Linked DNA regions of Bombyx mori. The protein of the gene in region 2 purifies or fractionates together with the protein of the main gene of each other region. This does not show direct contact. Links are inferred from orthologs where the notes say so. Each region holds a gene or a part of one and is shown on either strand. Other genes may lie near its edges.

Evidence for each region.
Region 1: the proteins of chromatin-remodeling complex ATPase chain Iswi (region 2) and nucleosome-remodeling factor subunit NURF301 purify together in Drosophila melanogaster (affinity purification with western blotting; 7 studies listed by BioGRID, with this or other methods). This does not show direct contact. The link is inferred for Bombyx mori from reciprocal best matches to the Drosophila melanogaster genes Iswi and E(bx).
Region 3: the proteins of chromatin-remodeling complex ATPase chain Iswi (region 2) and chromatin accessibility complex 16kD protein fractionate together in Drosophila melanogaster (co-fractionation; 4 studies listed by BioGRID, with this or other methods). This does not show direct contact. The link is inferred for Bombyx mori from reciprocal best matches to the Drosophila melanogaster genes Iswi and Chrac-16.
Region 4: the proteins of chromatin-remodeling complex ATPase chain Iswi (region 2) and uncharacterized protein LOC101741235 fractionate together in Drosophila melanogaster (co-fractionation; 4 studies listed by BioGRID, with this or other methods). This does not show direct contact. The link is inferred for Bombyx mori from reciprocal best matches to the Drosophila melanogaster genes Iswi and Nurf-38.
Region 5: the proteins of chromatin-remodeling complex ATPase chain Iswi (region 2) and DNA polymerase epsilon subunit 3 fractionate together in Drosophila melanogaster (co-fractionation; 4 studies listed by BioGRID, with this or other methods). This does not show direct contact. The link is inferred for Bombyx mori from reciprocal best matches to the Drosophila melanogaster genes Iswi and Chrac-14.

The regions. Positions count from the first base shown.
Region 1 is NC_085116.1:8,917,753-8,921,626, forward strand, and holds part of nucleosome-remodeling factor subunit NURF301, read right to left. Parts: intron 2,078-3,874; coding exon 1,882-2,077; intron 1-1,881. UniProt on the Drosophila melanogaster protein: Histone-binding component of NURF (nucleosome remodeling factor), a complex which catalyzes ATP-dependent nucleosome sliding and facilitates transcription of chromatin.
Region 2 is NC_085119.1:7,661,983-7,665,856, reverse strand, and holds part of chromatin-remodeling complex ATPase chain Iswi, read right to left. Parts: intron 3,751-3,874; coding exon 3,627-3,750; intron 3,126-3,626; coding exon 2,838-3,125; intron 2,716-2,837; coding exon 2,502-2,715; intron 1,844-2,501; coding exon 1,572-1,843; intron 1,402-1,571; coding exon 1,174-1,401; intron 1,060-1,173; coding exon 814-1,059; intron 714-813; coding exon 608-713; intron 484-607; coding exon 338-483; intron 1-337.
Region 3 is NC_085111.1:17,749,247-17,753,818, forward strand, and holds the start of chromatin accessibility complex 16kD protein, read right to left. Parts: upstream 3,069-4,572; 5' UTR 2,481-3,068; coding exon 2,355-2,480; intron 1,872-2,354; coding exon 1,614-1,871; 3' UTR 1,608-1,613; intron 1,232-1,607; 3' UTR 1-1,231. UniProt on the Drosophila melanogaster protein: Histone-like protein which promotes nucleosome sliding of ATP-dependent nucleosome remodeling complexes. Part of the chromatin-accessibility complex (CHRAC) which uses energy/ATP to increase the general accessibility of DNA in chromatin.
Region 4 is NC_085115.1:3,630,268-3,634,705, reverse strand, and holds the start of uncharacterized protein LOC101741235, read left to right. Parts: upstream 1-1,536; 5' UTR 1,537-1,572; intron 1,573-2,936; exon of another isoform or gene 2,937-3,072; 5' UTR 3,073-3,101; coding exon 3,102-3,297; intron 3,298-4,438. UniProt on the Drosophila melanogaster protein: Component of NURF (nucleosome remodeling factor), a complex which catalyzes ATP-dependent nucleosome sliding and facilitates transcription of chromatin.
Region 5 is NC_085130.1:7,455,713-7,459,050, forward strand, and holds DNA polymerase epsilon subunit 3, read right to left. Parts: upstream 1,726-3,338; 5' UTR 1,601-1,725; coding exon 1,241-1,600; 3' UTR 712-1,240; downstream 1-711. UniProt on the Drosophila melanogaster protein: Accessory component of the DNA polymerase epsilon complex. Participates in DNA repair and in chromosomal DNA replication. Histone-like protein which promotes nucleosome sliding of ATP-dependent nucleosome remodeling complexes.

The DNA.
Region 1 (3,874 bases), on a different chromosome or scaffold from region 2:
AGGAAATATAACATAATAAACTTATGTACTCCAAAGCATACATACACGCACGCACACAAACATACAGAATGACACATTGTGTATTGTATTGTTAGAAATTAAAATAATGTATATAACGATCATAACAACCTAGCTAATCGTTGGGTATTAGTGTATGGTCTATGGTAGTTGTACATTTTGTCTCGAACTGTCGACACCCGTAATGAAGTTCTTATCAGCCGAAATTCAAAACCGAACGATTTATTTCACTCTTTGATTAATATACACATACAATAGATTATAGAAAAAGTTTGACTTCAGCTATATCAACTTTAAAATCATATTATTATACAATATGGAATGACATAACATTGACCTTGTTTATTTGGATCAAGAGGTATTCAATTATCTTGAATGATCGGGTGAACAACTCCACGTTCCAGCTGGAGTTAATTACCGGAGCCCATAGATATAACGATGTGAATGCCGTAACTCAGCTTGAGACATGAGGTCAGATTCTCAATTGGGACATGACTTGAAATTTAAAGTTACTTCAAGGTAAAAAATTTACCCCTTAGTCATATCCACTCAAATCAATAAAATAGTTGTGTCCCCCCATTTTAACAACATTTTATGGGTAAAAAAAAATATGGCAGAAGTTATTAATGTCATCATCCTATTAAAATATGATCTTTATAGGTTGGCGGTTTGAGCGTTGTTGTTGTTGCTACGTGGTTTATCGCTGGCGCGTTTTTTATCCAATTGAGTTGGGACTGAATATATATATCGACGCTTGAAAGGCAAACGTGACTAAGCGACAGTGCGTGAAATTTACAGTAGACTAATATAAAGTTGAAATTAATTTAACATATACCTGACAAATACCTGATAAAAAATTCTATAACGAATCTAGCTGTAGGATTGAAATGATTTTAATAGATCTAGAAATAATTTTTTTTTGCGCATCGAATATGGTTATTGCCTATCATTTATGTACAAAGCAGTTATTGTCGCTTAGTCACGTTTGCCTTTCAAGCGTCGATATATATATTAAAATTTGGTAATTCAGTGAAATTGTTTGAAATATATTATTATGTCCGCCAGGCAAGCATTACTACACATGTAGTTGAAACACATTTCGTTTAATCAGAAAAATCCTGATTAACTTGCGGACGGACTGATGCAAATAGTAAAACTACAAATTTTTCTAATATCACCAATGACGGATGTCACAGATGTAATAAAAATTTGAACAGAGCTTACGGCTTTGTTGAATAAGCTCGAAACTGCAAATCTCATTGAATCCCAAATTGACTCTTTCCTTATAAGATAACAACGGGGTCTTCAGTTTGCACCAAATAAAATTTCATCAACACTCAATAGATAAAGTAGGTTTCCTATAGAATATTATATAATAGAATATTATAGATAAGGTAGGTTTCCTGAATCTCGCTATGGTTACGTCTAGCGGCCCATTATAATAATTATAATATAGCTTTATTATAGCTTTTTCTTCGCGTGCTAAGAGTGCTGTGCAACTGAAAACGCTTAGTTAAATAGTTTAAAATATTTATAGGAGGTATAAGTTAAATCGAGGCATGAAAGTCCTTTAATATAAGCCTTTAAATTCCTCGTGAGCACTGAGTAAAGAATTATTTGACGCTTTCTCGCAACGCGACCGTTGATAGATAAATAAGTCAAGCACTTCAATGAATGTTGACGCCGTTTGTTGACGTATTTTCGTTGATTAACTATATTCATGTTTAATATTTGTAGGACTATTAAAATTATCAGTTGACACGAAAATCACGGAATTTTTATAGGAAATTTAATTGTCGATTAAATAGCTGTTTATTAAATACACTCATTTCACGAAGTTAAGTTAGAAATATTTGAACTTACTTTGTTGAATGTAGTCAGGTGTGAGGACGAATTTGTTACTTTGCAAACGATCTTGGTTAGCATTAACTAAGTCAGTTTTAGTGCTATTCTCTTTAATATCTTCCTGTTTAAATGGAGTCGCTTCTTTGTGAACGGCAGCATCGGCTACATTGTCTTCGCCATTCAAAAGCGCCTGTCGTTTTGGATCATTATTTTCCTAAAAGTAGAATTACACCAGTCTAATGATTTTTATGCGTTACACTAAAAGAATTAAAAATAATTTAACAGCAATACGAAATAAATAAAAATACATTGTCTCACGTTTGTGGGAATATATTTAACAAACATAACTTAAATTTAACAATTGATATTGAATTTAATCTGATTTTGTGTAAGAATTTTCATTAGATAAATGTTAATGAATTGCCCATACACCCCCACAAAACGTTTGCACATAAAATGAAAACTAAAAAAGTAAAAAAATAATAAAAGGTTTCTATCAAATAAAAGACAGTGACTTATATGTTTCAATGCTTTATTAAAATGTGTTCATTAAATTAATTCAATACTTGTTCTTAAATGTTAAAACATGAAAAGTGGTGTATGAGCAATTCTCGATACGAATATTTTCATTGAATCATCAGCCCGCTTATGGACATAAGATTTACAGAAAAAAAACTTCCATATTTTTATTATTTGACTATTTAAAATCTGATGATTCATACGTCTTCAGGAACATTTTCGGTGGGCTTTTACAACACAGCTGTTTCATATGACTGTGTATTAAATTTTCAAGACTCTTAAAGACATCATGATTTGACAGAAATTGAATAAATATTGTAATCTTTACAGCTACTTACGAGAAGTTTTACCGATGATCTCTCGTTTTAGGTAAAAAATAGAACGACTTTGTAAAGTATAATGGCAGAACAATTTAATTACATTTTAGATACATATATTATTTTACTTTTTATTAATTCGTAATACGTGAAGAAAACGAGGCCATCAGTAAATCTATGAACAAATAGTAGAATATGGATTTAACACTATATTTAATATGTAAAATAATAACATGAACAGCATGTTAATTATTTTCAGTACTGAAGAAACTATTGTTAATATTGGATTTAGTTTGCAACTTGTATTGCATGTGAACGTAGAAGAAATTCTGATCCGTTCAAAGTTATCTAGGCAGTTTAAAAAAAAACAAATAAGCCATCCGAATTTAAAGCCGTGTCAACACATGGAAACATGGAAATTGTAATAAAATTTGAAGCAAAACTATCGTTAATGCTACGTCAATAAAACCTACAATTTAAAATAGTAACTGTGTTTTCGAACGTAAAGGACATCCAGGCATGCTGTATACATGATTATCGATGGTCTTGCTCAATTTGATATCGGTAGGTACTTTGTAATGTCGTTTCGAAATTATAAAAAGTAGGGTAGTTGACTGGTATTGAATTTATTTATAATGGAATGCATTTTTAACTCCGGATTTTTGTTTTTAACAATATTTCGTCAATAAAGTATATAAATTTCACAATTTAAAAAAACTACTAATTTTGTTGTGAATTTTGAGGGGATGTCTTATCCTTATATTTCCACAAAGTAATTAAGTTTTAATTTGTACAACATAAGCAAGATGTTGCCAGAGTTCTTGTAAAAACAAATTAAAATGCTGATTTTAATTTACCTTTGGGTGATTCTATTTTCTGCAGTTTTTTATAAAACAACAAAATCAGTCAGCTAGCTCATACTTTAAGTTTATATTAAATCTAGACAAACTACACTACCGTCCAAAAGTTTAGAAGCACACCTGTTTTTATACAAAAAAGAACATCGCCGACACTATGTAGTAGGTTGTTCACACAAAAACAATAGGATCATGTCATGTTATAGATTTCTCAAATTCCTTGATTTTAACGAAACTTGTGTTTTATGAATTAATCCGTCGACTGCTTTCTTTTATGCAATGGTGTGGTATTATTAAATATTTTTGCTAGTTTTAACT
Region 2 (3,874 bases):
TACTTTTTTAAAGTAATTTTTTTTATATGGACTTTTACTTAAATGTCTATCCATTAGGAATATTTTGATTCTTTGTTTTTGGTTTATCTACATTCCTATTCTTCGGATTCTTGTCCAATGCAATTCACAAAATTAAAATAGAAGAGTCTTTTACAAAACAGACGAGATATTCATAATCTACTATGTAAGCTAAATATTTATATAAGGCATACATAAATACCAGTATAAAGAGCTAATCAAAATACTGTTACATAAATGATTAAATGAATACCAATACCAACAATCGCCAATAGGAGGACTCCTGAGGAATCCGATTTAGCTCTTTACACTTATTTACCTGTACCTTTGGCGCCTTCGGTTCAGATACACGTAGAGCCTCTCTGAAGTAGGCGTCCACGGCATAATTAGCTTTACGTTCGCGCTTAGGCGGCTCTATCCAACTACCCATTGGGATAACTTTTTGCTTCTCTCTGTAATCCTCGCCTAAACGGGCATAATAATATTATTAACACTGTGAGTATAAAATAATAGATTTTTGAATACTTTACCAAATTATCAGTTCAAAACTGAAGTGAAATTCACTTTATCAAATAGTTTTGAGGACAACCTTCAAATTGATAAACTGAGTCGGTGGTCGCGCCAGGAGTGTCCATTGAAAATGCTCGCAAGGACGACTCGCCCAGGCTCTCCAATTTCTGCTTCAACTCCTCAGTCTATAATAGTATATTAAAAAAAAAACTAGTTTAACACATGTTGTCAAGCAAGTGGTTGTATTACAAAGCTTTTTTTTCCTACTATATTATATTACAATACCTTGCTCTCTCCTTTAGCTAAAATCGTATCGATGTCCTCATCAGTAACCTCAGAATCCTTAGACGCAAAGACGTGGTTGGCACCATGTCTGATCATGTTGAGCATCTCATCTTTGTTCAGCTGGTTCTTAGTGTCGACCAGTCTACCGGACTGAATTACAAGTTTGTCCAGGCGCAATTTCACTTCCGCACGTTCTACAATCTTTTCTTCAACCGTGTTGTCTGTTATCAAACGGAACACTCTGACCTATGAAACATTTAGATTAATAAATTATTTTACAAATTTCACTAATAGTTAATCTTACCGGTGTGCAAAAGTTGTAAAATTATATCTGCCAAAACATATTTAAGTTAAACCCACCTGCTTTTTCTGACCAATACGGTGAGCTCTATCCATGGCCTGCAGATCCATTTGAGGATTCCAATCAGAGTCATAAATAATAACAACATCAGCTGATGTTAAGTTAATACCAAGACCACCAGCTCGTGTAGATAACATAAAAACAAATTTCTCACTCCCCTCCATATTATACTCTTCTATTTGTCGATTTCTATCTTCATGTGGTGTTTGACCATCTAGACGGCAATACTATAAAAAAAATTACAATATTGCATAGCTTTAAGTTATATGCTATGCATTTATTTTTATGAAGAGTTAATTTACAGCATTGTCTGTGGATGCAGTATTTACATTTAAAGGCAGCTAAATAAAGATTAAAAGCTAGCAAAAAAAATTTTTCAAATCATGCTTAATATTACCTTATATTGCCTCCAAAGGCAATAATCTTCTAAGATGTCCAGCATCCTAGTCATTTGTGAGAAAATAAGTACTCTCGACTCTTGCTCCTGAAGCTTAGGTAAAAGCTTATCCAGTATAGTAAGTTTACCACAGTTATATACTAAATGTTCATCAGTTGTGTACGGTGGACCCGGCTCAGCGCCATCAAATAAATAAGGATGGTTACAACATTTGCGTAGCTGCATAAGAATGTTCTGGAGTCGCATTTTTTCAACCTTTCCAGCACCATTTACTATAGGTAATAAAATTATTACAAATTGGTAATTAATTTATTAATAAGCAAATAAACTTAAGACAACAGGTGTAGATGTATCTTGCCCTTACTCAACATCACCCAAGTATCTCGGACACCGAATGCAAAATCTTAGCCATGAAACGTCACAGTTCATATCAAAGACATGTCGAAACAAAAGATCTAAAGCTGGAGAGTTATCTATTATTCTTATACGTATTATTTATTAATTAGCTGTAAAGAGAAAAGAAACCAATGGAACAAAAGAACCTCAGACCAGTTGTGTAAGGTTAAAGTCACTGTAATGCTTTCCAAGCTCCTTTAGAAGATAGCACTTGTAGAAAAAATTAGTTATATTTACTTTATTCTCAGTTAATCTATGATTATAGTAAATTATAGTAAATTTCCAAAGTAAGTTAAATATGACTAATTTAAGTAATAAACTTTTCATTTCATATCTTGGACAATATAGTGCAAAGGCATATAGCAGATGCTTTCCTAGTTACCTCAAGACTATGGATATATTAACTACCTATTGTTTTATTGTGACTTCTTAACCGTTTGACAGGTGAAACCCATTTCTAGAAAACATATTACCTATGTTTAGGGAAACATTTAAGGCATTGTTATTCGGCATAATGAACATATTCTGACTTACCTACATCAATATCCTTCATAAGAACCTTAGTATACCACTCTCTTTGCATTTTACTCAAACCCACATAAACTTTTAATTCCTTTTTAGGCTTTAATTTTTTCTCAACCTCAGATTTGAGTCTCCGAAGCAAAAATGGTCTTAGTACAGCATGTAAACGTGAAACCAATTGGTTATCACCTAGGGCTGCATTTGTATTAAACCATGAGTCAAAGTCCTAGAATATCAGAAAAAAAAACATTGAATGTTAAAAAGGTTAATGAAAATAATATTTAATTAAAATAGTATTCATTAATTTTGCATTTTTTCCATTGTGCATTTCCTTGTATTATTACTCACATCAGAACTATTAAAAACATCAGGCAGAAGGAAATTCAATAGTGCCCACAACTCATGGAGATTATTTTGCAAGGGAGTACCAGTTAACAGCAACCTGTTCATACTCTTAAATTCCCTAAGCAGCTCCGATAATTTAGATTTTTCATTCTTGATACGGTGAGCCTCATCAATCACCATATAACGCCAGTTAAACTTTTTAAAGACAGATTTCTCTCTTATAATCATTTCATATGATGTAATGCAAACATCCCAGTTTCCAGGCATCAAGGTTTCTCGGATAAATGTATTCTGAAACATATTTATTTATTAATCCATTTTCCTACCATACTTTTAATTTGTATCTAGTCTAAAGTGATGTCTATTTTATATTTGTTTTAAGAAAACTAGTCTAGGTTAAGCTTTGCACACAAGTTTTTTGCATAATATATATATATATATTTTTAGCATACATATTTTTTTTGTAGAACAAGTACCAAAAAAAACATATAATAGTGCAATACAATATAATCAGAAAAATGAAGTCTAAAAATAATAATGTACAATGTTTTTTTTCAATTCTATACAAGGTTTTATATTGCTCTATAATGGCTGTTAACGGTTTCTCTTCTTTCTGTGTAATGTGGAATATTAATGATATACAGACTTTTCAAAAGGACTATTTATGTACTTAGTCAAATTTTGCTATTCTAATCACTTTATTTGCCTTTGGTAATATTCTACTAATATCTTGTATTATGATATATTAAAATTTTGCTATAAATATTAAATGGCAATGAACATTATACATACCCTTGTTTCTTGATCACCAATAAGACACACAGCTTTTAGTGAAGGGCACCACTTTTTAAATTCGTTCATCCAATTTGTCAAAGTGGATTTTGGTACAATTACTATGTGAGGACCAGGAACGTTTCTGAAATTTTTTTTAATACTTATTTAGACATTCACGACATATCTTTTCCAGTGTCTTTATTTAAAGTATAAACAAACAACACTGTTACAACACACCCACTGTTAAAACCAAATTTCCTAATAAA
Region 3 (4,572 bases), on a different chromosome or scaffold from region 2:
TTTAAATTCTTTTATTTCTGTTCTGTGTTTGTTCACCCAACTTAGTCAGGAAATACTTTTAATGACTGTTTACAAATATAAATAATACCATACTGTTGCAATAAAACAACTTGCACATTCCGCATAAAAACATTGGATTTCTTTTTTTAAATATCTTTACATGTAAGCTTCGATAGACTTTGTGTGGCCATGGGTAATGCATTGCTACCTACAATGCTTATAAAAAACAAAAACAAAAATAATAAAAAAAATAGTAGTTATAAAAATCCCACTCACATGAAATGTTTACAATTCATTCTATATTTAATCTACATCTACAAAACTCGCACTAAGCACAGATCAAATGCAATTATGAGTCCAGATGGCCTCAATTGTCACATGAAGTTGGAGTTTCAATCACTTGTATGGTTGAAACTCCAACTTCATGTGACAATTGAGGCCGTCAGCGCAAAAGTGGCCAAAGCTTACCATAGTTATTATGGAGCAGAGATATTTAAATTTTCACGAGTTTAAATTTGAGTACGCAAAAAACAATAGGGGCAAAAATAATGTTTACAGTCATCTATTACCTATGGGTGAAACTATGAATATGCCAGTTTTGCATCAAAATTTATTATATTTTAAATAGATTGCAATATACATAATTATAAACATGATTATGAAAAATTGTGGGTTAGGCCACTTTTGCGTTGACGGCCTCAATTATACTCCTGTATGCCTTAGATATTGTGAGAAACATACTTCAGTGCTCTTAATTATAGTTGAAATTATTTGATAAAAGTGTCACACAACAAATAGTTTGAGATGGTCCATGAAATGACAATTACTTTTAGATTACACCAGATCAAAGTTTTAGCAATATAATTTATAAACTTTCTGTTATTTATTTCACTTTAATATTTGAAAAACTTAAAGTAATCATAAGTAATACAAATTTTAATTGCATAACATTTTGATTAACAAACAACATGCAAAGGCAGAATTCTATCATTTAATGACACAATCATCAATTTAATGACACAATTAAATGATACTTGACGAGCACAATATTTGTAAATGTTATTACATTTCATGAAAGAAAAGAAACCAATTTGTAAAATTAAGTTAATAAAAATAACCCAACGCCAGAATAGGCTTATTGGCACAGATTAGGAGACACTCAACATTTGTTTCTGTTTAAATTCTTCACTTTTCTTCAGTCTGTGAATTTGTCCCTTAGTGTTTGTAGTTCCTGAAATTATAACATTTGAAGATTAAAATCACGATCATCTAGTTTGCTAAATTATTTAAAACATTGTGCATCCACTAACAGGCCACTATTGGTGTATTGGGAATGTTGTTATGTTTTAAAATAAATAAATAAGATTTAGTCTGTAACATTCGAAAAATCACTGCCAGGGTTGATGAGTTAGACTTCTACATCAAGTAATTCCAGTGTAGTTATTTACTTTTTTAGGATCTTTACATGTAATTTTTTTCTTAAATATATTTGAGAAAAGTATTTATGACTACACGCATTTTAAAACTAAATTAGTGTATTAGTCCTTAAATTAAATTATTTATTAAAATTTAGTAAAAATTTAGTAAATTAAATTATTCTAACTTACAGCTTATCACTCTTGTTCATTGTTACTGGATGAGTCTTCACTGCTGTCTTCACTGGAGTCTTCACTTGAATCATCACCGTTCTTGGCAGCTTTCTTGGCCATCATCTCTTTGAATTGACGCACAGTGATCTTTCGAGGCATGATCTCTCTGAGAAAGTCTAAAGTGTCATCCTCTTGAACAATATCAGCAATATGTTTGTATTCTAGGAAGTTGGCATTACTGTTTTTGTGTGCCCTCTTTGCTAGATCCATTACAAACAATTCCTGGAAATTAGTGTGATTATAATCTTTATCGGAGTCCATAGCTATCACAATGTGATTGTCACCACTCTAAGAACCTACGAAATAAGATCTAAGTCTCAGTTGTACTATAAAATACTGTCCAGACTATTCAAAATAGAATATCATCAATCATTGGAGTAATTGGTGTAATAAAAATCAAACTCATAAAATTTTAAAAAATTGCATAAAACTAGTCATTACGGTAGGGCGCACATCGGTATTTCGGCTGCGAAGCAGTAATGATTTTCGGTTTGAGGGGCGAGGCAGCTGTTACACTATACAATTGAAACCTCATGTCTCATGTTGGGTAGAGACATTCACACAGTGATGAGGTCTATAGGCTCCAGTAACTACTTAACACCAGGTGGGTCGTGAGCACGTTCAACCGTCGAAGTAATAAATAAAAAAAAATCGCCTTGGGAAGTTTAGGTTAGTTTAACTTAGGTTAACCTCTAGAAAACTCACTGTAACTTTAGTGACTAAATATAGTGGTTCTGGACCAACTGCTTCTACGTCCGGTGAGCTTTTCATTATTGTTTTAACCCTGGACAGGGGCAAATGCAGATCTTTTTCACTTTTTGGGGTAGCCATCGTTTTAGTCGAAAGGAAATACAAACTAACTAGAAATATTTTATAGGTGAACTATTAAAAATTCATTTCAAATAGATTATTTAAAACAGACCGCGAATCTCTAAGCATTTTAAACTGAAGTCAAAACTAAACGTCAAAATCAAAAACTTTGTTTTGTTTCATTTGTAAATCGGAAAGGCATGCGGAACATTGCTCATTAAATATTTTAATTTTCTGTAAGATTTGTTGGGTCCAAAGTGAGTGAGCGTGAATTTCCGCAGATCTTTTATCTTGAAAAAAAAAACAGTCACTGCTATGTTAGCCACAGTTTTATTCCAATTCCTCAATAATCGTGAACAACGATTATTGACGTCTAATACACAAAACAACACCCAATTTATATATTATACATCACAATAAACTATTAAAAAACATTAAAATAAAACTTCAAGTGACGCTTCACTCGGGTTGCCGCCAAAACTCTCTGATCATATTATTTAATAAGAATAGAGTAATGGTAGGCCATTGAGATTTTTACTAATGGAATCATTAATATCTAAAAATAATTATATAAAGTAATAATTATTATTACAATATATAAAAATTGAATTGAACAAAAATAAACTAAAAAAGTCTGTGAATTATAACCATTAGCTATTTTTTTTAATTTGTTGTTCAAGTCACAGACAACTCTTTCGTTTGGCAGCATATAGGTTTACTATAAGGCTGTATGGGCTAAGCCCTTTGCCTATTGGCGAATTTAAAAACTGTGCCATACTCAGTTTTGGAGATGAATGAAGTTAGCCCCTCAAAAAAATTTTTTTTTCCTATTTTCTACTTATTTTCTATTAATTCGTTTGTTCATCATTTGTTCATGATTGTTCACTGTTAATAATTGTTTGTTCTGCAGTTATTTATTTAAAAAAAATATTTAAAAATATACCTACAAGTTAGCCCCTCTAATGCAATTTTTAATATTTTTTCATCCTTAATGACTCGTAAATATTTATTTTCGATTGTTCTTATATAAAACACGTTTGTTATCTTTCGAAATTACTCGTTTTTTGTTTAATTTACTATTTTTATTAGTTGAATAAATGTATGCAAAATATGTGTACTGCGCATGCGTCAACTATAATGCCTAAACTTTCTACGTGGTTTTAATGGTGAAAAAGAAAACAAATATAAATCCTGAAGGAGCAATTAATTGGTATACAGTTTAATTAAAAAAATTAAAAATTAAATAAATGAAATAATGTGCATTGGCGTTAAGTTAGACCAAATACATTTTTTCCATCCTCTTACCTATCGTATTAAAATGTTATTTTACTAATGTTAGGAATATAATTTCGACTGTGTAAAAAAGTTATTATAATGTATACCTATATTATCTCTTGAAAGATAAATAATGAACATATTTACTTATTTGTTTATATTACCTATGTGAACTCCCTATCTTTTTTATACCTTCATAACGATAAGTAGGAGGATGGAAAAAATGTATTTGCTCTAACTTAACGCCAATGCACATTATTTCATTTATTTATTTTTTAATTTTTTTAATTAAACTGTATACCAATTAATTGCTCCTTCAGGATTTATATTTGTTTTTTTTTTCACGATTAAAACCGCGTAGAAAGTTTAGGCATTATAGTTGACGCATGCGCAGTACACATATTTTGCATACATTTATTCAACTAATAAAAATAGTAAATTAAACAAAAAACGAGTAATTTCGAAAGAGAACAAACGTGTTTTATATAAGAACAATCGAAAATGAATATTTACGAGTTATTAAGGATGAAAAAATATTAAAAATTGCATTAGAGGGGCTAACTTGTAGGTATATTTTTAAATATTTTTTTTAAATAAATAACTGCAGAACAAACAATTATTAACAGTGAACAATCATGAACAAATGATGAACAAACGAATTAATAGAAAATAAGTATAAAATAGGAAAAAAAGAAATTTTTGAGGGGCTAACTTCATTCACCTCAGTTTTGGGGTGTTATCAAATAAGTATTTTTTTTTTTTGTAAAACAATGCCAGGGTGAAAGAAATGTTGATACATAAACTAAAACACGTGAAAAAATAAGGCATAGTTTTTCAA
Region 4 (4,438 bases), on a different chromosome or scaffold from region 2:
AAGACTACCACGTCGTTGGTCACCAGCAGTTGATAAACACGCTAAGTCCTGGAGCTGTACTGCAATCAGAAATCGAAAGTTGGCCCCATTGGCTTGATAATGCTCGAAAAGTACTGGGTTAATATTTTATTTACACAACGAATAGATCGAGTATTACTATAATCGGACTTTATATTACAATGAATAAAATTAATTGAGTAAATATTCTGTTTCGTTATTTAGTTATGAATCTGAAATGTTTGAATACATGAATTTCAAAAGCCGTATAGAGACTTGGCTTGGCTTTGCCGCTGGTGTAGATAATACACATAAATTAGAGATAAGAAACTCAGCATTCAACAAAAATGTTTACAGGCGTCGGCCACTAGATGGCTTCGCTTCGATTAGTTTCTAGTATATTTCCTTTTCTCAAGCATTCAACAAAAATGTTTACGGGCGTCGGCCACTGGATGACTTCGCTTCGATTAGTTTCTAGTATATTTTATTTCTAATGAAGGATTTTGTAAATTTTCAGAAACCACAATTTGATAAAATTTAATCAATTTGTCTATAACAAATAATGATGTATTAACTTTTTATTTTCTGTGTTTAGTCACACAATAATTAAATGCCTTAACTTTAACAATATACATATAAGCTTAGGGGCATCTGCTACAAGATGTCGCTAGTTTCCATACAAAAAATATTTGTCTTAAAGTATCACAATTTCGGGGCCCTGGCCGCTGGCATTGTTGACGTTGACGAGCGACGATAACCACTTATCCTCAGTTGAGCCGTATACTCGTCTGCCTAGAAGGGCAATATTATAAAACTCAAGATACTATTAGTTATATCTGTGTGAAACGTAGAAGTTAAGAAATATTTTTTAAAGAATTATAGACCGTAACACAATAATCGTAACGAATATCATCGTGTCGTCCGTGACTACTAAAACAGTAAAGTAGGTATTCGAACCGACGAAACAAATAAAATGAAAATACTATGTAAAAACGAGATTTGAAGACAAAATAAGTTTTATTTTAAAATAACGCCATCTAGTGTTTCAATATTAAATTAGGACCAAGTGTTGGGGTCGAGTTCATAACGTTGCATTTAAAACGAACACCAAGACACATTTTATTACCACCAAGACAAATTATTATAAAGAACAGTCTATAATAGGTAATTGGAGCCAGCTATCATTTTTTAACAAATTTATTTACTTTATCGCAATTGAATTTCGATAAAAATTCAAACTACGACCTTACGTTTCATGGTACATAATAATATTATTATGATGCGTGGGCACCAAGAATTATGCTTTAATACTTATCTTTATTTAGTTGAGTAGGTCCTGTAGTTTATTGTAAAAATGAACTGAGTTCTGTATAATTTATATAGATGGCGCTAACCTAAGTTAGGTAACTCATACTTGAGCAACCATGAAAATTTGATATTCCCTATTCTTTTGCTACAGCTGTGAAAATGAAACCAGTGGTAATTTTCTCTGGATTTAGTAAACTATGTTTAGTATCTACTAAATGTTGTATATGAAAGTGAAACACGTTTGAAGACTAGGCAAAAACGCGAGAGGTTATGTTTTTGTGAAAGTTCGTTAATTAGTATACATATTTAGTTTTGTTTCGTTTCGTTAGCTTAGTATTTCTTCTGATTTAAATTTGTTATAATGATGTCTTCATAACCGCTTTAACATCTGTGAAAATGTAGAGGCAGGAAAACAAAGAAAAACTTTGGACAACTTTTCGTTTTCCTACAAAAGTATTTGATAGAATTTACAGAATATTAACTTAAATTCCCACCATATTATTGAAACAATATTTAATTTCATTCCATTATCAATTTTACATTAATTAATAATTAACAATCATTTAATTCAAGTTTGTTACATTTTTCATTATTAGACATGACTTTGACTATTAAAAACATTGGGCACATTTATAAAAATTGGGCAGTATACTGTAATACCTTCGCCTTTCTCGTTTTGGAATCGTTGACATTTTTCTTTGGATTGACGTTTTAACATGTGTTGCTATGAAAAAAGTATTATTCAAATTTCTTTTAATTACGATCCTATGCTTTACACATGTCACCGTGTTTGCTTAAAGTTTGTTTATAACAGAAATTGTGTGGAAAGTAAGAAGCGTCTATAATTGAAGCAATAATGCTTTTCGGTTTGAAGGGCGAGGTAGCCTTTGTAACTGTAGTGAGACCTTAGAACTTATATCTCAAAGTGGGTGGCGCATTTATGTTGTAGATATCTATGGACTCCAGTAACCACTTAACACCAGGTGGGCTATGAGTTGATCCACCCATCTAAGCTATAAAAAAATAAACTAAAGAAATGTTTAAAAACATTCACTATCATATCATTCGTTTATGGCGTTAGCTAGTAATTTTTATCCTATATTTCTATGGATTATTAAAGAATGCCTATAAGGACACGGTCCATTGCATTTAAAGGGAGGGAGGGACCGTTATTCAAGGATCCACAGTCCAGAAAATTGTCGAATAGTTAAGGACTTATATTTGTTGCTTGTTCTATAAGTTTTGTTTCTATAAATGTCTGATCCTAGTATTTGTGACAAAAATGGCGCGGGCAAGTTAAAATTGAAAATATCAATTGTACCAGATTTATATGAGGGATAATTTTCATTTACATTCATTTGATGCACTAATAGAAAAGGGAAGAAAGAATTATCAAACTCTTTAACAGAACCCTTCACAAAATTTGCAATATAAATTACAAAGAAAATTAAAATCTCGCAATACTGCCACGAACATATAAAGCACAAGTTTGGTGTTTTGAATAAAAATAATGAACTTCAAAAAGTTTAAGTAAAAACTAAATTTAACATTAGGATATTTGGTTGAAACTTCTCTCGTCTTCAATTTCATTAGTTTTAAAATATTAAATTTCACATCTAGCTTATAGTTTTTTTAAGATTACGTTTATCTGAATCATACGTGTGTCCACACAAAGATACTTTTAACAACTTTGACAGTCCTGTAAACTACTAAAATGAATTTAACACTGCCGAAAATTACGTAACAAATTTCGTATTCTTTTTACAGCTTACCTTGGTAACCCGTAGTGGACTAAAATGTCACTTTCACGTTGCGTTTGTGCCGCAGCTGTTCCGGTTTGCCGGTCGATAGCAAGACGATTGTGCGCTGTTAAAGAACCGACACGTGTAACTTGTTCAATTAATTCGACTGCCACACTAAAAACTCAAGTAAGGATGTACATCGTAGAAGAAAGAGGATCACCTTACACTCCTGACTATCGTGTATTCTTCAGTAAGTCTGATAGTGAGAATAATAGATAAAGATAAAATAGTACTCGAGTCGAGTGTGTCGCGTGTCTGAACATAAACTCTCTTAATCATAGTCATATTATAGTTTTAAGTGTTTGAACTTTGAAGTTCGAGGTAATTGTTTTTAAATCAAGTTCAACCAGAGTTTGTTGAAATTGGTTCTTAGTAATGAACTCCGTTTAGAATTCACACAATGTTTATTAGGAGATTTAATATCTATTTCGTTGTTTTAAATTTTTACAGCAATTATCACAATAAGACCTTTAGACTTTAGAAAACTCTCAAGCAATATTTGTTGTTACACAAGTCACCATAATAAAACCCAACAGTAAAATTTTATATTGCTAACATGATAGTGCTACATGAAATTCGGGTTTTTGATTTTAGACTTTTCATTTATTTATAGTTTGTAAATAATATTGATTTATTTTTCTAAACTTAAACTATAATTTGTACAAAAGTAAGGTAAAAAAGAAGAACCGTCAGAAACTACTAAAACTTATATTTTCACTGTACGGTAATAATAAATTTTGTTTATTTATAATAATTGAATAAAAAAATAAAGATGAATACAGTTTAAAACAATGTTTTATAGGCAAACTGAATTCAATTCAATTCATTCATTGAAACAAAAGTCAACTTAACCAGCTGAACTGACTTAGCATATTAATCTCATTTCATAACTGCTAGTATGTAATTCAACAAAAAACAAATTACTTTTATTATGACAACAATTTTATATATTAAATAATTATTTTTTTATATTTCATGTGTAGAATATTTTCCATATTTTTTACCAAAGCACAGGATAGAAATTTAAAACAATAGTAAAATTTGTTTTAATAATAAAATTGATAGTGTAGTTGATAAACCTCGGGTGGTAGCTTTCACCTCAAAATAAACGCAATGTGAAAGCTGCTACTTTATTCCTGATGTTGAATTATATTAAAATAATCTCTTTCTTGCTCTTCAAAACGATTGCAGAAAAAGGATAGGCTACTATAGGATATTACTACTAATACAAGTAAATGCCTACCACAAAGAAATTGGATTCATAACTTGTTTATTCCAAAACAAAGTCCAAAGTAACGGTTATTATTGATAATTAGCTGATGTTATCATAC
Region 5 (3,338 bases), on a different chromosome or scaffold from region 2:
TATCCTATTTTACTCAGTCCATCGAAGTTATTTAAAACACTGTCACTATCACACCTAGATTATTTTTGGTCAAATGATTATCGTCATTCACATAACATGCCCATACCATAATTCTTCCATTTTTTACTTTGTCAGTGGAACTACTTTGAGACTTCCTATAAACACTTATTTTGAATCTTATCCTATGATGTTATATTGTATTTGAGTCGTCTATTATCAAAGGTGGCAATCTGTGCATTTGGACAAAAAAATGTTATTGATATGTCAATACAGATTGATTTGAATATAATCGTCTCCTTCAAAGAATACGGTTCAAAACCTGCATTAAATAAAGGTTAATACTTAACCTGTTATTTATCTAAGATGTCGTTCAGAAGAGTTTTGTGACTGCCAACAGAATACAAAGTCAATAATTCGTTTTTCTGATTTACCAATAATTGTCCAAAAGTCACATTGCCGGCTTTGATAATAGTCGACTCATTTGATTCATATTTCGTATCATTTAATTCAAATTGGTTGTCATGTCCCACTCTTGACAAAAGCCAAAACAAACTACCAAGTTTCGAGAACTACCACCATAGATAAGCAGGGCATTGAATATTGTATGATATATTGAATGAAAATAATTGGAGGTTTTCACACAAACATAACCATTATTTTAATTTCTCTTGAGACTATTCTAGAATACTGAAAAATAATAGAAAAGCCAGATTCTAACAAAATTTTCTTATAATTACAAGTTTTAAAAGGATGTGTGACCAGATCTAGTAATAATTGTAACATTTACATAACATACATACATACATAACCTAACATTAAGTAATTTTTATGGCAGTAAAAATTAAGTTTAGAAAAATATCAGTAATAAATCAAATAAAATACTTTTAATTTTAGCAAATTGCAAAAACAAATTTTGAGAAGTTCTAAGTTTTAATTGTAGTTAATTTACTGATGTAAAAGTAAGTGGACACAATTCATTTTGGGATGCTTTTGAAGTTTACTTGTTTTTAATAAAAGTTTATTTAATTTTAAAACACTTCATACATTATTACCAACTGATTAATTATTGCGAGGTAACTGTTGTAAATGTTCATGGGAAACTTGTTTCATTTAAACATTTATCACTTTTGTAACACAGGCATGGGTTCTTTGAACTTATTTCATATAGTTTTTCAGCACAGTTTCTGAATATACACCACTAAGCGCCACTATACATTTTAAACTCAAGTCGCAGTAGTATTCAATCGTCTTCTATAATCTCAGCGTCTTCTTGTTCATCTTTTTTCTTCATAGAAGCGGATTTTCGTGCCGAAGCCATGGTCTTGTAATGTTCCAGAGCTTCTCCTAAAGGTTCCACAAATCTATCAAATTCGATGTCTTTCATAGCATCTATCACGTCCTGCCCAGTGAGAGCCTTCCTTTTTTTGTTCTTAACAATATTTGTAGCTGCTGAAGTCACATAAAGTACAAAAACTGAAGCCGCCTTAGCGAGGCCAGTTCGCGCCTCTTTTGATATCGATACGCCACTGGGAAGAGCTTCTTTTACGATTCTAGTTACAACTGTGAGTGGTAAATTCAAATCTTCGAGTTTTTCAGCCATTTTTGTTTATAACGTTCCTATTTATAAAATCTGGAATTAAATGAAAACATTAATTTAACCGCCAGAAGCACTAATGACATTTCTTGACATTGATTGGAGCATACAGTCACAGTTATAGATTATACACAGTTACGAATGTTACGATAGTACTCTCTATGTGTATTATCTATGGATACAAGGGTTAGTAACTGCCGCCTGTCGCCGTGCTACAAAAAGTCTCAAAAATAGGTACTCGGAATACAATGCCTTTTTTTCAAAGTTTTCATAGGTATCGTGGCTTAAACTATATTATTATGCTGTATGAGATACCCGGTGAAGTTACATAAAACGATGGGACAATACCAGCAGTTAGATCCTGCAGTGTAGTAGCCTACCGAATTCACAATTAGTATTTAGCGTTATCACGTGTTTATTTGTTGTTTATTCAACGTTTCTATTATTCTTCAAAATTAAAACCTCAAATCTTATTCACGTTACATGCTATAAAAACATTGCGATCTGTTTTCCAAAAATATTACAAAAATATAGGATTGCGTGATAATTTTAATTCACTGGTGGCAAGAAAGCACGCATTGATGATGACGCATAATGTCCATTTAACGAATGCAGACCAGAAGAGGGCTTGTAGTGCAGCAAAGATCAAGACAATATGAGATAAACTTAAACTGTATGCTTTGGTGGGAAATCGACTTTATCGTCTAATTAACTCAAAATATTTAGCAGTCACCATTATCCAAAATAATTCACGGTCAAAAAATAAATTACTCAAAAGTATGTAAAAGTTTATTTTCGCTATTATTTTTTGGTTAAATTATTATAATCTGATAATCTGTTATTTTAATCAGCCATTTAATTCGCTTGAAACCTTGTTGATTGTTGATAAAAATAAAAAGCAATGGTTCGAACACTCGTGTTGTTTGTAGAATTATTTGATTTGCACGATGTCGATATAATGAGAAACGAACGAAATTACTTGCTCATTTCTGCCACAAAGCATTATTGCATTCCGGTTTGAAGGGAGGAACAGCAATAAAAATTTCATCTTTAAAAAATAACATGGCCTTCAGTTCACAAAAGCTTCGCGTTCGTTATCATGTTACCCGTAAACAGCTGATTTACGAGTGACCAGTGTGCTTAAAAACATTATTTAGAAAATATAATAAAATATATCAGTAGGCTTACCATAGATTTACTAGGCATACATTGACTACCATGAAAGCGTATATTAGCGTATCAAAGGACACGTTGTCCGTGTTAGTTCGTTTTTAAAACATAATAGGTATCTACTTTTTAGATAGAAATTGACAACTGAATCAACTAAACAGGTCAATGACCTAGTTTTACAGAAATCGATGAAAAATTAAAAATGAATGACGTGAATACATATAAAAGGGAAGGTCAATTGTTGAATTTACTAAGTACGTAATAAAATTGAAATAAAATTTATAAATACATTTTTATTGAGTTAGGTACGCTTGGAGGTATTGCGCAAACTCGTGGTGCAATGTTGATGCCAGTGTTGTTTTGACAATAGTGATGTCCAAATGAACAAAAACGCGATAGCGTGTTATATTCTCTATTTTTTTAAGCTATTATGTTTTTTGTTACTAATAAGTTTTATAGAGATTCGGTGACTGTTAATTTGAAACTTTATGCTAAACAGATAGCTTTTTCATTTCCTAGTACCTGTGTCTCAAAAAATGTGAAAAAGGTTTTTACAACAATTCTACGACATGTG